Struthio camelus: one gene and its partner. The protein of the gene in region 1 interacts with the protein of each later gene in a biochemical or structural test. Links are inferred from orthologs where the notes say so. Each region holds a gene or a part of one and is shown in the gene's direction. Other genes may lie near its edges. The genes, in order: MAPK8IP3 and MAPK10.

What was found.
Region 2: the proteins of MAPK8IP3 (region 1) and MAPK10 form a complex in vitro, tested with the Homo sapiens proteins (3 studies listed by BioGRID, with this or other methods). The link is inferred for Struthio camelus from reciprocal best matches to the Homo sapiens genes MAPK8IP3 and MAPK10.

What each region holds. Positions count from the first base shown.
Region 1 is NC_090956.1:19,855,011-19,863,054, reverse strand, and holds the start of MAPK8IP3 (C-Jun-amino-terminal kinase-interacting protein 3), read left to right. Parts: upstream 1-4,954; 5' UTR 4,955-5,032; coding exon 5,033-5,350; intron 5,351-8,044.
Region 2 is NC_090945.1:10,742,325-10,749,818, forward strand, and holds the start of MAPK10 (mitogen-activated protein kinase 10), read left to right. Parts: upstream 1-4,285; 5' UTR 4,286-4,643; intron 4,644-7,494. UniProt on the Homo sapiens protein: Serine/threonine-protein kinase involved in various processes such as neuronal proliferation, differentiation, migration and programmed cell death.

The sequences.
Region 1 (8,044 bases):
AGCTCTATTATATTCAGGAAGGGCCAGTGCACTGAAGGCAGACTGTCTGGCACACAGGTGCTTCACATTGCTGTAAAAAGATGAAAAGACTGAGATCAAATGCAGACTCTGGATCTGCATTTAGCCCTCGAGCTCCTTTGTTCTAATCGGAGCTCCAGCACTCCTCCCCTATGTGGTCTTTGTGGTCCACTTAGTACTTCTGCCTTGGTTTCTTGGATCTATAAAACAGAGATAATATTCACAAGAATTTCTAAGAGCAGATTAGCATCTCTAAAATGGGAGTTAACTGAGTATCTTGCTGTTAATCTTTGGTTTTATACACATTGGAAATAGATATTTCTTAAAAAATCATTAATATGCATGTATCTATAATCCCACACAGTTCTTTACTACTTCTGTTTGCAGAGTATGTTATTATGTACAACTCGCTATATTTGGTATTTAGTAGTTAATTTTCATTTTGTTGTGTGGAAAAATTCCCAGTTGCCTGTGTTTTTGCGAGACTTTTTTTTCCTTTTTTCCCCCCCCCTAGATCACAAGATTTTTCTGGATAGGACCACTTTTGATCTTACTGCCTTTGTGCAGTGTTTAGTATGCTGCTGTTGTGGTTCATACTTGGAGTTTTAGATGCTACTGCAGTACAAATACACATGGTAGAAAACGACCCTGTTTAGACTATGAGAATTTCCTCTACCTTAAACGCTGTTTAATTTGCATGGACTACAGAAAGGTTTTCCGGTGGGTATTGTATGCAATTCTTTGATTATATATAACCAGGATGATATTGGTCCTCCTCTGTGAAAATAAACTATTCAGTTTCATCTTCTGTTTCACATTTTCTCCCAAATGCTAGCTTAAGAGATTGATCTATAAATTCTGATGAAAGGAACATTTAAATCCAAGTAAAACACTATTTATCTTGGATTGTTTACAAAAACCATGAGGATACTGTTATTCCTTTAAATTTTTATAAATCTTTCAAAAAAAAGAGTTTGAGGCCTGAATTACCCTATTATATCTTTTATAGAGCTGATATTATATCTTTTCAATTGAGGACATGCTTGAAAGTAGTACATATCCTGTTTCTTCCCTACATGTGGGGTATTCTAGACACAGTGTCTGAAAAAAACAGTTGGATTTATCTGTTTGAGTGCTTTTTTCATGTATGCAGGGAAAATAGCTATATGTAAGTAGTAGTTTAGTAAAAGCTTACTAATAATTACAAAATAGTTTACTAGTACTAGTTTAGTGGATATTTCTTTTCTGGATATTTGATAAGTTGGACATTCAGATTAAACATTTATCATTTTCCCATTTCTGAGGACAATATAAGGGTCACTAGGATCAGAAGGTTACATTAGGTATGCTTATTTGCTATAGTGGGATAGTAAGACTTGTATTATAATAGATCCATAGAAATGTAAGTGGGCATCTCAGTTCTTCTGGGAATAAAATGTTTCAAGTTTTCTTCTATCACGCAAAATCTATTTCCATGTCTACTAAATAACCTGTAATGTTAGGGGTTATTTTCTAGGTGAACGGGCCATTGAGTTTTGCTATGAACAATACACTCATGTATAACTTTGTGGGATATCCCTCTTTTTTGTTGTAGTGTTTGCACCATATGTAGCATTGCCCAGTTGAACTTCAGAAAGACTGTATACTTTGGCTTGTTCAGTTTGCCTAATAAAATCCAGTATTTGGGATTCCAGTGACATAAACTATCGAAAGGGCTAACTAAAGGAAAGGCAGTTAGCAAGATACAGATAACGATTATTAATAACTTTTAAGGGAGAGGTACTGTGAAGTATTGTTTGCCTGTAAAAACGGACCTGTTGAATTACTATGTTTTAGACTAAACCAGCTGTACCACAAAATGCAGATTTAAATAGTGTTGTAAAATACAAATGTCTTGTCTATCCAAGTTTTTCAACATTTAAGCCTTTAACAACAATGCCACGTTTGAAAACCTATCCTTGATTTTAAGCTGTTAATTTAAGCAGTTGTTTGTCTAGTCTCCCTCTTTTACCACCCAGACTGAAAGTGTTTGTTTATAGCGAATGGGCTGTACAGTTCTCTTGGCTCTCTCTTTGCCTGGTTTTTTTGTAAGGTTTTTTTTTTTTTTAATCTTTGCCTGAAATGCTAATTCATTTCTCAGGAAAAGCTCTTTTATCTATAAAGCAACAGTAAAAGGTATCCGTTTCAAGAATCCAGACACCTCAGTTGTCCATTCATTGTGGTTTTAGCTGTCTATTCTTGACATGTAGAAATCTAAGGAAGAAAAAGTAAGAAGACTGGACTTGGATGAACGGCACCTGGAATATAGCCACACCGTAGCTTCCTGAGTGTTAATATTTATGCAGCTAACAGAAATGAGCACAATTAGCATGAAGTCCTGTGTCAGCTCATTAGTCGCAGGCTGAAGTGTTGCCACAGTAATGAAAAAAGGCATCCCTAATAGCTGCCATTTTACTGAAATAAAGCCTGAGATACCAGTTTGGCCATTCTTCCTGTGTGATGGGGTGTACGGGTCTGTTTTGCGCGCTCAGAAGAGACAATATCACCAAGTAAGCACTACTGAAAGGCGATTAACTACCAGAGTAGCGGCAGAGAATATGACTCTATTTTCACAAACATAAATCAAATCTCCTACTGAGGATAGTCAGGTTGCAGTAATGTGATAGTGGATGCTCCAGCAGTGAAAACTATGAAACCTGTGGTGTTTTTGTGAATTAATAGCACTGGAAACTCCATTGTCAAGCAGATCTAGGTTTTGGACAAATTTGGGGTGCTGCAAAGGCAAAGTTTAACTTTTGTTTATATTTTTTTGCACAGAACTTTGCTCCATAATCTTGAAGTATTTTATGTTGTTTAAAAATTAGAAAAGGCAACTATAACTGTAAACCTACATCAGTTTTTAGACTTAAATCTCAGTTAGTTGGCAAACCCTTGCAACTAGAGAGAATCCTTCAAGGAATGTTAGAGATACTTAATTTGAATATTTCTGGTCATCAGGTGATTGAACAGTGACTTCTGCATATAATAAAATCTGGTTAAGGCATTGAGTTATGAAGACAGTAGTAGCTGGGCTGATTAAGAAATACCCCTCCGTCAGCTACTATGTTCATTTCTTCCAATGATGGAAATCACTTACCTAGCTTGTAAACCATTTCTCTTCCTACTGACCAATTCAGATTTGCCTCTTATGAGAGAACACCTAAATGAAAAATGTCTGAATTTCAGATGTATGTAAAGAATTTAACTCACTTATTTGCCTTTTCTTTGTCAGGAATTGTAAAGTATGTCCTTGATATTTCAGAATCCTTCCGCTCCCTCAGCTAAGAATATGAAAAGCGGTGTCCTTCACAGGAAGGTTGTTCACAAGGATATTTCACAAAAGGGCATCAAGAGGAATAATCACGTAATGAAATTTTCTAGGCACGACAGCGAGACCTGGAGAATGCCAATAACATATGCATTTTGGAGCATTGCTTCCCATGTCAACCCCCTCGTTAGAATCTCTACGAAGGTATTGCATGAAATGAATGAGTATCGTATGAATCTCAATTTGCCTCTTATAGTATTTGCTGTGAATGCTGGAGGCTGCCTCCAATTTCTGGCAGCGTGTTGCTTTTCAGAGCGCGCTGCTGCTTAGAGTGATCTATTGATTAATCTCTCTGATTGTGCTGCTGCTCTCAAAAGCTCAGGCGCTGGATTCTTTTTTAGGACTTAAAATGGCGACTTTTGACCTCTGTTTTTGTCTGTTCACTTGTTCCTGTCTGAATAGGTCTTTCTCTTCTTTCCCTGTAGCTACCTTGATCTTGGAAATATAATTACATATCTAACTTGAAACAACTATTGTATGGACGCAAAGGAGTGCCCTGATTTTCGTAGATCCTAAGAAGAAACTTGCAGGTCTGCAGGTGTTTGGAGGTTTTACATTCATAATTGGGTGGCAAAATTAGATTCTAACACTTCTGGCTGGAAGTTGACCCCCTCTGCCAAAAAAAAGTTCTTTCCAGATCAGGCCTCTGAGTGAACAACATCCAATTTAGGTAATGCTTCTTTGGTTTTGGTCAGATGATGGAGAACTTAAAAGTTTAAACGGGTGAGAGCTGAGTAATGGTGACCTTTGCGCTATTTACACTGAAGGCCTCTCTAGTTTGTAGCTTAACATATCCAGCCCTGGGACAACTATTTGCCCTGAAGCAGTTTGCTTTTTTGGCCAGATCGCGATGCGCATGAGTTCGGGTTTCAGTCAGGAAGAACTAAATGAGCCAAGATGTGGGAATCAGCTAGATTTGCTGATTCTTAACCCCGAGGTACAGGTCTGAGGGAAAAGTTGGCTTTGCAGCATGCAGTATGACTTTGCAGCTTCCGTGAAGATGCTGTATTTTGTCCGTGGCTCTGCTGTACAGCGGTCGCTCCGCAGCGCTGAGCGGTCGGACGCGACTCTGGCGCGTAGTTTGCACGCTGTCCTTAGGTGCAGCCGACCCTTCGGGGCGGTCCTTTGTTCGGCCGTAGGCCTTGAGGCAAGAAACTAGTTGCGGATGGGCTTGATCTTAAAATTCCCCCCGCCCTTTCCCCCACCCCAGGTGTCCGTGCAGACGCGCGGGGGACGGCGCGGCCGTGCGGATACGGTTTGCGGATGGATGGGCGACCCGGCCCCGCGCTGGGAGGCGAGCGGGCCCCCCGGCCCCCGCGGCGGTGCTGCCCGAGCTGGCAGGGACCGCGCGGCCCCCCCGCGCCGGAGCCTTCGCGGGCCGCGGCCGGGGGCGCAGCCGGGGCGCCGCTGCGGGCGGCGGCGGCGACGGCGGCGGCGGCGGCGGCGGGGGGGAGGGGGGGGGCGGGGCCGCTCCGCCGCGGGCCGGTCCCCGCGCCGCGTGACACGGCGGGCGGGGGCGGCGCCGCGGCGCCCATTGGCGCGCGGCGGCGGCGGCGGCGGAGGGGCGGGGCCCGGCGGCAGGCTGCGAGGCGGCGGCGGCGGCGGCGCGGGTGGTGCGGCGGAGCTGTCCCCTGGCAGGCCGGCACGATGCTGGAGATCCAGCTGGACGATGGCGGCGTGGGGGGGTACCCGGGCGACGATTACTGCTCGGGCTCCGTCATGTCGGAGCGGGTGTCGGGCCTGGCCAACAGCATCTACCGCGAGTTCGAGCGGCTCATCCACTGCTACGACGAGGAGGTGGTGAAGGAGCTGATGCCGCTGGTGGTGACGGTGCTGGAGAACCTGGACTCGGTGCTCACCGACAACCAGGAGCACGAGGTGGAGCTGGAGCTGCTGCGGGAGGACAACGAGCAGCTGCTCACGCAGTACGAGCGGGAGAAGGCGCTGCGCAAGCAGGCCGAGGAGGTGAGCCGGGGCCGGGCCCCGCCGCCCGGGGCCATCGCGCCGTTATGCCTCCCTGCCCCGTGCCCCGGCGCGGCGCCTCGCCGCCGGCGACCATCTTGTGCGCCCGCCCGGCGGGCACCGGCGCCTCGCGGGGGCACCGGCGCCTGCGCCACGGCCCGCGCTGCCGGGCCCGGCCAAGCGGGCAGGGCCTGCGGCTCCGGCCTGGCGCGGGGCGCCGGCCCCGCTGCCGCCCGGGCATCTCCCGTCCGTGCTGGCGCAGCGGACGAGGAAGCGCTGCCCGGGCGGGCCGGCGCGGGGCCGCCTGCCTGCCGGCTCGGGCTTTCCTGCGCTCGGTCAGGTGTTACCGACCGCGTCTCTCCGCTCCGGTCCCTGGCGGTGCCTCTTCTCCTCCGCAGCAGCAGCAGGCAGCGGGAGCAGGCCTGGGGCTGCCCGCAGGCCTGGCGTTTGCCCGGGCGGCGTGCAGGGAGCCCGGGGGAGAAGCGGACCCCACATATCCTTCGGGAAGAGCACCTGGCCGCCCTGCGGCGGGCGCGCTGCCCGCCCTCGCCGCCTGCTGCGCGGCGCAGCGCAGGCCTGGCCTCTCGGATGGGGCACGCTGCGCTCCCCGTGGCCTTTTTCCACACAGCTAGCAACATATCCTCTTTATGTTTTGGTAGCTGTGATGTTACCGGTTCTTCCCTGCAAACGTATCCTGGTGACGTTCCCTTTTTCTCGCTGGGTGAAGATCCATGAGAAAATGGCTATCTCGCTTGCTCCCCGGGCTTGTACTTTCTCACATGTACACGCAGGATCTGTTTCTCCCGCATCATCGTATGCGTAAAGCCAAGTAGGCAGATACCGCTGCCACTGTTTTTGCCCATTTGAAAGGAGGAAAGAGAAAAATGAACAAAAATAGCTGTGATTCTGTGAATGTGTAGAATTTAGCTTAGAATACCAACCAGAAACACAGATGACTTGAAATTTGTGCTAATTTGTGGTTAAAAAACATGCTTTAAAATTTTTATTTACTTTCTGCCGTGCACTTATCCTGGCTTGGTGGTGGTGGCGGTGGCCACTTTCATTGTAGCGATGTAGTGCAGCAGGAGAGTTTTTAAAATCTCAACAGTAAGCTGTTCATTTGAGGCAAAAAATGCTCTTTGTAGAGTTGGACATCTGATTTTTGAAACTTACTTTTACCAAGCCTGCAACTTGAATCTTAATAACGTAATTTCTCAAGTTAGAGCCTGCAGTTTCTACTGCACTGGGTGTACAAATCTGCATTCATGGAAGCCGTGCCGGAGAGCACTGCTGCTCAGGTGAAGGGGGGAATTTGAAAGTGGATCATAAGACAAAACAGTTCCTTCTGATGGAAGGAAAGCAAAATACTTGGGTTACCAAGACATGGCAATAGCCAAAAGAGAGAGGGGAGGTAACTTCCTGTCTCTCTTCTTGGTACATTTGCTTCTGTCCCTGCTGAAATCAAGAGCGTTCTTTCAGCTATAAATGAGGTCTGTGAAGCACAAGGTTTGCTCTGCAGCCTTCTGAAGTAATAGTCTGTGAACTGGGATTAAGGACTGGTAGTGGAAAAAGTTTGTTACCCAACACATCATTCTCTTTTCTTTACACAATTGCTTTAAAATTGTCTACTTCCAGACTTACGTAGTCTTTCTGAGGTTCAGATTCTGATGTGATGAGCAGTAATTAATAAAATAGCTTTTGAATTCAAGAAGAAGGTAGAGCACTGTAAAATATTTTACCAGTGTTCTTGTTTCTTAATAGTCATATACAGTAGTCATATTCTTAACTTAATGATGAGGAGGATACTCATGGTCTATTACTAATACTGAAAGCTAGAGCCAGTCAATTAAATTTTTAATCCTAAGTTTTAATTATTTATTAATGGACTAATAACTAGTTGTTTAAAATTCTTATGAATGCATATGATGATCCTGAGTACATGAGACGTTATTTATTAAACCTTGCGTAGAGCTGATATTTTGCAGTTAAAAAAAATTTTTTTTACAAGTGCAGTATTTGCAGAGATAGAAACATGCTTTTTTTGGGAGTGAATGAATATTCTTCTTCCACACAGCCCCTATTGAAAGGTCATATGTGGAATACGTGGCTGTTATTTTCCTGTACCTGTAACAAAAAATACATCATTTCTCTGCACCTGTTTGCCATAAGCTGCTTACTGTGTGGTAAACTACATTATGGGTTATGGAGGTGAAAATCTGCATCTCTTACAGAGAAGTCTGTTTTCCATGAATTAATTGTAAACCAATCAAAAATAAAAGAAACAGTTTTCACACCAGACTGTGCATTGCTGTTATGTAGCAGTGCCCATAGTAACCAGGGAAAATCCGTCCCGCTTTCTCATGCAGTGTTCAGCTTTGTGTGCTGTGCCTTCGCCCAGGTCTCTGCCCTGTCCCTTTAAATGGGAGGATCCTCTTCTGGGAACTGGATTTAATCCTAGTCATGATTTCTCTGTGTATATTACTCCTAATTATGAGAATCGCAGTGACACAGAGATGTTGGGAGTTGAAGATGAAAAATTGGTCTTTTCTGTATAATATCATCAAAAGACCCCAAGTCCTAATTACTTTATATTAGTTTATTAATTTGAAATTAAGTAAAACCACAAGTGAGCATTGTTCTGTGGCATTAAAAGGTGCATTGTATTCTCTTGTTAATCACTACTGCAGAAGCAACAAA
Region 2 (7,494 bases), on another chromosome or scaffold:
TCATTCGGATTTTAACTGCCTTAATTGAGTGTGATCTGTTTGGCCGGTGAAAAGAGTATGAACTATATGAGGCAGAGCTGAATGGGGTATGTAGAAGCTCCTGAATCACCACGGTTTGCAGCCCAGTGCATTAAGCCATTGCCAATTTCAGATTACTTCAATATGCCAGACTGCAGTCTTTGGCAATTTAAGAGCTGCAGCATTCAGCCATCTATGCAGCAGAGACAGCAGGCTTTAGTGGGAATGGCATAAACTGCTTGAGCAATTCTAGTTTAGTCCCGAATTTCATGTGGGTTAATGCCGTGGGTCACTGAGTGCTTCCGCTTCTGGCGGAGCTGGTGGTAATGTAGCTACTGGATCCCTGGTAGCACCGTTTCAGAAGATTCGTACGGTATCTGTTAATGGTGAGCGCAAAGCCACAGCTGCTTTTCTCTGTCTGTTAAAAGCAGTGCTTAATTCGTTTAAAGAGACTTACCTACACTACCTACATCACTTACCTACATATATTTTTCATAATTTTATTACTATTTTTAAATAAATAGCATCAGCAAACAAGGAGTTGGCAATGCAGGTGGATCAGAATCTCAATTTAACATTGTTATTTCATGTTTGATGGGTGCTCTCTTTTTGTTTGCTTGAATACAGAACTGAATGTGAGCAAACCCTGACATAATTGTTCTCCGAACCTCAGTGCTCCCAGTCTGTCTGATCAAAATAGGTCACAGAGATACAGCCTACTGCTCATCTCTTGGACTAAAATTGTATGTGCTTATTTGGGAATTTGTTTAAATAGGACGAGAGAAAGCTGTGTATGAAGAAAGACTGATGCTTGTGAGTGCTGTAGAAGCACAAAGGAAGTATAAGAGCTTAACTGAAATGAACTTAATTGGCTTATGGTGACCTCTGTAGCTATCCTCATGTTGTAAACATCTACTTCAGTGCAGTTTATGTTATATTGAGCCCATGTCCTCTTCTGCTCTTGCCTGTCGTGGAGGGCTGTTAAGGTCAGGGCAGCTCTTCTGGGAAACGGGTGCCAATGGAATCTAGCCTAAAAACATCTTTAAATTATTTCGCTGAAGTTTTCTGCACTGTGTCAGGCCATTGCAGTTTTAATCTGAGGCTTAATTCCAGGCCAGGCGGCATTTTATTGCATCTTTGTGCATCTTGGCCCAGCCAGTGAGCCATCTCAACAAGACACCACAAAAAGTGAGCTGTGATGGCTACAGACAAGGGTGAAGTGAAATGCTGGTATTGCTCTAGGCAGCTGCATCCCTTTATCAGTAAAAGCAGCCCCTGAAAAGATGCTCTTTTCCATTAGATCTGTTGTTCAAAAGACAGATACTCTAATTACATTCTGAAGCCTCTGTCACCTCTGTTAGAACTTAAGCTTTTTGTTGTTTTTTTAACCCTTTCCTCCTCCCCTCCCAGGCTCATAATCGTGTCAGAAACATCGTTTCCCCTTCCTCCTTTTTTCTGCACCAAGGAGTAGGCAGTTAATGCCACTTACAAAGGTCGTCTTCTGTCTACTGACACATTCAGTGGTTTTTCCTCCAGGAAAGCTCTCCCTGTAAATGTATCCTGAACATTTTAGGTAATACAGTTACAATATGTGGGTGGACCACAGTAGAAATTGTTGCCCCCAATTAGTAATAAACTTGTATGTACATATATATGTATTTATGTATATGGATATTTTGTGGTTGCTGAAGTGTGGCATTTCTCCAAATGGGCAGCAGTCTTGTGTTTTCACAGTAAACAGCCCCCCCCCCCAAAAAAAAAAAAAAAAGAAAGAAAGAAAGAGTACTACATAGGCTTTGTTCACAGAGGTAGCTTCGTTCTGGAATTTTGCGTAACTTTAAGTGTTTTCCTAGAATATTGTTGAAGAAGACTGAAAGTATGAAAGAAGCCTGAAAGTACGAAAGAAGTTACTTTTCAGGGTATTCTCTTGTCATTCTACAGAGTCTGGAATGGATGAAACTCTTCTCAGAGTGTTGTACCCATCATCTGTACTGGAAGGGGAAGTAGTTCTTCAGTGCAAACGTGACATATGGTAGCAGAAAATACTGTCTAAGAGGCCTATAGAGGAAAGACATGTTATGATATGGGAGAAAGAAAAACTTAGTTATGGGGACAAAAAAAACTCCAAAAACCTACACACAGGATTTGGTGAATTTTAATACTGTCAAAAGAGGAAGTTCTTAATGACAGCAGGAAACTTGCTTTTTTGTTTTGGTTTTTTTTTTTTTTTTAGTTTTCCCAATCCTGTGATGGGTGTGTGTTTGTTTTTTTTTTTCCCCCCCACCCCCCATAACTTGTATTTTCTGCTAATGGTAGCTGCTGCTACTCTTCTAGCTGTCAGTTAAAAATTGCCCTTTACTCCCTGCCCCTCCTACCCTGAAAAATACAGGTTGAGTTAACTGCCGATTGCTGAAGCCTATGTGTTCAGATATGCCATGATTACTGAGACCAATTATTCCACTCCCTAAAACTGTCTGGACTGCTTGACTATGTCTGCTGTGTAGGTCTTGCAGGCTGCTGTGGAGATTTTAACACTGCTGCCCTCTGTACCTCTTTCAGGGCCTTGGTGGCATTGCTAAGGCGTTCTCTGGGCACATAATGTACCTTTGCATGCTTCTTTGCTGTGCCATCTTCTCCTTGAGTGTAAGGTGAAACCTGGAGGAAATTTCCGCAGTGGTTGTTAGTCTGCAGTATAGAGCTGTAAAGTGAAAAACAGGAACATCAGCGGAGCAGTAGTGTGTTGTGTGTGTTGTGTTTTGTTTGAAATTAATAGGTTCATGTGCATGTGGAAAAGATGCATGATGAAGATCAAAAGAAAGACTGATAGAACACGCAGGTGAAACAGGCTGGTGAAGAAAGGAGTGGAGGGATGTAATAGGATTAAAGGAAAAAGGGATAGCTCGGGCCCAGATGCAGCCAGTGACTTGCTACACCCGTGGTCCCACTGTTCGTTTTTGTTGTTGGTCAGTTATATCTGTGTCAGTGTATGGCCTGCTAAAGGCACTTGGATTAACCTCAGAAAGGCAACAGATACCCAGCCTGGTGCAGATGAAATCTGTGGCATCGGTTCTGGGTCATACGGACTGTGTTTGGCTGTGGCCATAGAAAAGCCTGTGGAATATTCAGAACAGTAGCGGGAAAGCTGCTTTGGGTTCCCTGGAGCTTCATTTGACAGATATATTCCGAGTGAAATATTTTTGTGCTTCAACAGAGATGTATTCCAGCAAGGTGGAATTTCAGTGTAATATTTCTGACCAGGTCTTATTTGGATGTAAATGCCTGGAAGTCTAGTCTAGTGTAATAGTCTTATGGGCATACTTTATTTGCCGGTAAATATCAGAAGAGGAGAGACATCCTGTGACTTGTAATAAACAGAAGGAAAGGTTGCTGGACGAGGAGAACAGTTCGTAAGCCTGGAATGGTAGGTGGTTAATGCTAGTATTCTGTGACTACTCTGCTTTTGCAGGGTGTGGTGGTGAATACTGATTGCTGCTTAAAAAATAAGAGAGGAGGAAAGGGACAAGGAGGCAGATTAATGAAGTAAGTAAACTGCTAACCAAAGCAAGGTAGCTGCATAACTCTTCTTGATGCTAGAAGGCATGAAGAGTGACCACCAGCTCTGATTCTGTCAGTTCAAAATGCAATAGTACCCCGGTGCTGTGGGACCCTCTGCAAGTGCCAGGTTGTTAATCCTGGGATTTTGGACGTTTTAGTAATGGGCACAATGTACTGGTAATGGGGAGATCTATAGTCATCTCTTGGTCTTCTAAGGGACTCCCTCCTCAGAGGGATATTGCTTGCCCATGTATGCTTTGAATAGCTGCGAAGGAAAGGAAATGCCTTCTGCGCTTTTCCTGCTTGAGAACAAAATGTAAATTTAATTTCAAATAGTTGTGTTTTTTGGGGGGGGTGGGTATTTATGCATGTGCATATAGCAGTTAATGCAAACAAAAGGGCAGATCTGCACTGAATGAATTCTTCCTGTTATTACCTCCTCTCTGCACTGACTAGCTCCCTGATGTTGCAGATGCCTGAGCTGCTACTGCTGATAAGTGCTACAGAAGGCTATTCAGCTTCCCTTTGCTGTGCTTTGTCCCCTGATTCACTAGGAGATACTGTAGCTGTGGCTGCAGATTAGGCTTTTCTCTTCTCTCCCTCCCCTTGCCCCCCCCCCCCCGAGATTTCTATGTGCTTTGACGTCATGTGTGCTCCTTTCAGTTGCCATAGCAGCCCCATTCCCCAAGCTCTCTGCCTGTCTCCTCTGGTAGGTTCCACAATGGTACAGCCAGCATCACGCTGCACAATGGTTTCCAGGCAGTGAAAGAGCGTGATTCAGCAAGCCACTCTCTTTTTTTTTTCCTTTTATTTCGTTATTATCAGACGTTTTGGCTCCCCTTTTTCCATTCTGCTTTACCTGTTCCCCCAGGCTTTTATTTAGTTCTTGAAAGAAAAAATTAATTTTCCTTGAATGCAGCTGCCTCTCTTTTTATTTTTATTATCATCATTAATAATAACCCATCTTTTCCTCGGCCCTGTTTGGAATGTGGTTTAAAAATACCACCTAAAATCACAGTTTGGGGAAAAGGTTGCTGGACGAGAAGAATATAGTTCGCAAGCACGGAATGGTAGGTTGATGATGCTAATATTCTATGACTAACCTGCTTTTGCAGGGTGGGGTGATGAATATTGATTGCTGCTTGAAAAAATGAGAGGGGGGAGAGAGACGGAGCGGCAGGTTAATGAAGTAAACCGCTAACTGAAGCAGGAAGGCTGCAGCAGTACATATTTTGTGGCCAGAGGACCATCGTCGTCTTGTGTTCGGGTGTGTATGAGCTTTTCTGTTTGGGCACTTCAGGTGACTGGTGGTGGTGAGAGCGATGCAGAGGCACAGCACGGACAGGAGTGATAGTGCTTTAACAGCTGGCTCATGTAAACAGTAGTGTTTTACCTAGCCTCATCGCTGCTAATACTGCTTGGGGGTTTGGGGAGGAAGGAGGAATCTTGGCTTGCAATTTAGTAGAAATGAATAAGTTATGTGGGTTATATAGTTTGTGTAGAGCCATATAAAAATTGAGTTTGTAAGAATGACAAGAGAGGGTAACGATCAGCAGCTTTAAGATCTAGAGGACAGAAATCTCGGCCTTTTGCAGAGGGGCTGAATTCGAACAAGAAAAGGAAGTGTGGTGGGGGGGGAAGAGATTGTTTGAAAAACTATGTTGATGGGCTGAATGTGGGGGCTGTGAGGGGCCGTTATAAGAAAGTGGTCTCTTAAGGTAGGCATCCCTCTACTGCATAATTCCCAGGTGCAAGCGAACAAACAAGCACTGTGTTTTATGGAACAACCAAGAGCTTATAGGAAAAGTGTTTACAGCACGCTACAGGGCAGTTATTTTGCGAAGGAGAATTCAACACTTGGTAGACGCTGCAGTGAAATCAATGTTGCTTTGCAGGGAAATCATCTGGCAGCTATTGCTGTAGGAAGAAATGTTTTGTTCTTTTCTGCAGAAAGGCTTTATTAGCAATAATACAAATTTTACTTGGATGATGAAGTGTGACAGCGTTGCTTAATAAGCATACTGTGCTTCCAGTGAACTACAGTGGGCATGTTCCATGGCTTCACGCCTTGAGTGATTGTAAGCTTGTTTACATGGATTCTTTTTGCTGCATAGCTTTACGATATCCTCAATGCAGGCTTCTCCTTCTCTGATGCATTCACTCCGAGTTTTGCAAGAGACCTTTTTAAAGGCAGACCAACGTTATGTGAAAATACAAAGTTTGAAAAGGGAAGGGAAGGCACGGAGTGGGTGGCAGTTTTTAAGAGGAAAATGTAAACTGATATATTGTTTGTGTGTGTTCGGGTTTTTTTTTTTCTTGTTCACTTTGTTTTGTTTTTTTTCTTCTTTCCTTCCTTCCTGAAATAAGCTTCCTGGAGGGCTCAGAGCTTATCATGCAAGTCAGCTTTGGAAAAAGGGAAAGGTTAAGATACAGCAGAGCGGTCTTGTGTTTCGCACCTCTTGTGTATTGCACCGGGCTGTTTGTCTTTGCTCGCATGTAAATTACATTTGGTTACCTTACCTTGAGGACTGTCAAGTGTGCCAAACCTCTTACCTTTTAACCCTGTGTTGGAACATTACTCCGTAGCCCCTGACCGGGGCTACCAAGGAGCGAAGTGTTTTAATCTCTGGGGTTCCTGCTCTGTGCTCACTCTTCGTACTAGAAAACGTGCCATAAAATATCTTTTTCAGTTGACTTGACAAAATTCCTTTCTCTTCTGGGGGCACAGCTGTGAATGACAAAGGTGATACAATCTGAACCATTAAACAGTGTTTTCACTCCCTGACTCTCAGTAACCTGCGTTCTCACACGCTGCTCTGTCCTGCTGTTACAGAGCATGCGTAAATTGCCAGGATCCTGTGGTTATTATGGTTTTGTTGAGCTTTAGGCTTGCAGAGATGCTTCTAAAAGGGGTAAGGGCAAAAATCACTTGATGTGGAAAAATTAGTTGCCCTCAGCTGCCTGTTTTCCTGCTCAGTAATAGAAAATGCACCTCTCATTGTTAGTAATACACATGTATGCTAGAAGGGGCTTTTTATGAGCAGACCTTGGGGATTTTTTTTTCTCCTGTAAATGGTTGACACGTCTCTAGCCATTATTTAAAGACTTAATAATACTGGATCAATAACTGTAAGGCCAAGTATCTTCCGGAGGTGTTCAAATGGGAGATCTGACTTTTAAAAAACAATGGAAGAGCTACCAGAATTTCCCTGCTGTGGTATTTGGCGTGTTGTAAGGCCCGCTCCTAGTGTGTGGTCTGTTGTAAAGCTCATGCAATTTAAAGGAGAGCTAAGGCAGGCCCAAAGGAGTGGGATGTTGGCGTTGTTCTTGCACGCAAAGTTATATTTTTATTAAGATTTGGCAGGCAGAAAAAACTGAATTCAGAGAAAGATTTTCAGCTTTGAAATTTTCAGTCTCTGAAACTGTAGTTCAGTGCAGACTACGCCATTACTTGCATAACTCCTGAACAGCAGAAAATATCACCTTGTTGATAAGCCTTCAAAACAAAGCAAGTCTTTAATGTGTTTATTATGGCAAGCACTCAGTAGCCATAGAGCCTTTCATTCCTCTGGTTTCATTTTGCGCTCATAATAGCCCTGTTAAAATTACGCCTCACAAGTGTAGTGATTGCAGTGTTGAGCATTGTTGTGGCTCTGTTATGTTATCGGGAGAAAAGGAGAGACTTCATTGGACTGCTATACTAAATGAAAATACAAACTGGCTTCCTGCATTCATGCGCTGCTACCCTTTTCTGTGGTTCTTGCAAGCTCCCTGTTTTGAATCAGGGCACCTGCAAGAATCATTAACTCAGAAAAGGCACCCGTTTAAAACCAAAAATGTTGCTTTTGCTGTCAGGTCTTTTTCTTCAGTTTCTTGCAGCACCATCTGTGGAGACAGACATCTGAAAATTTTTCATAGAAA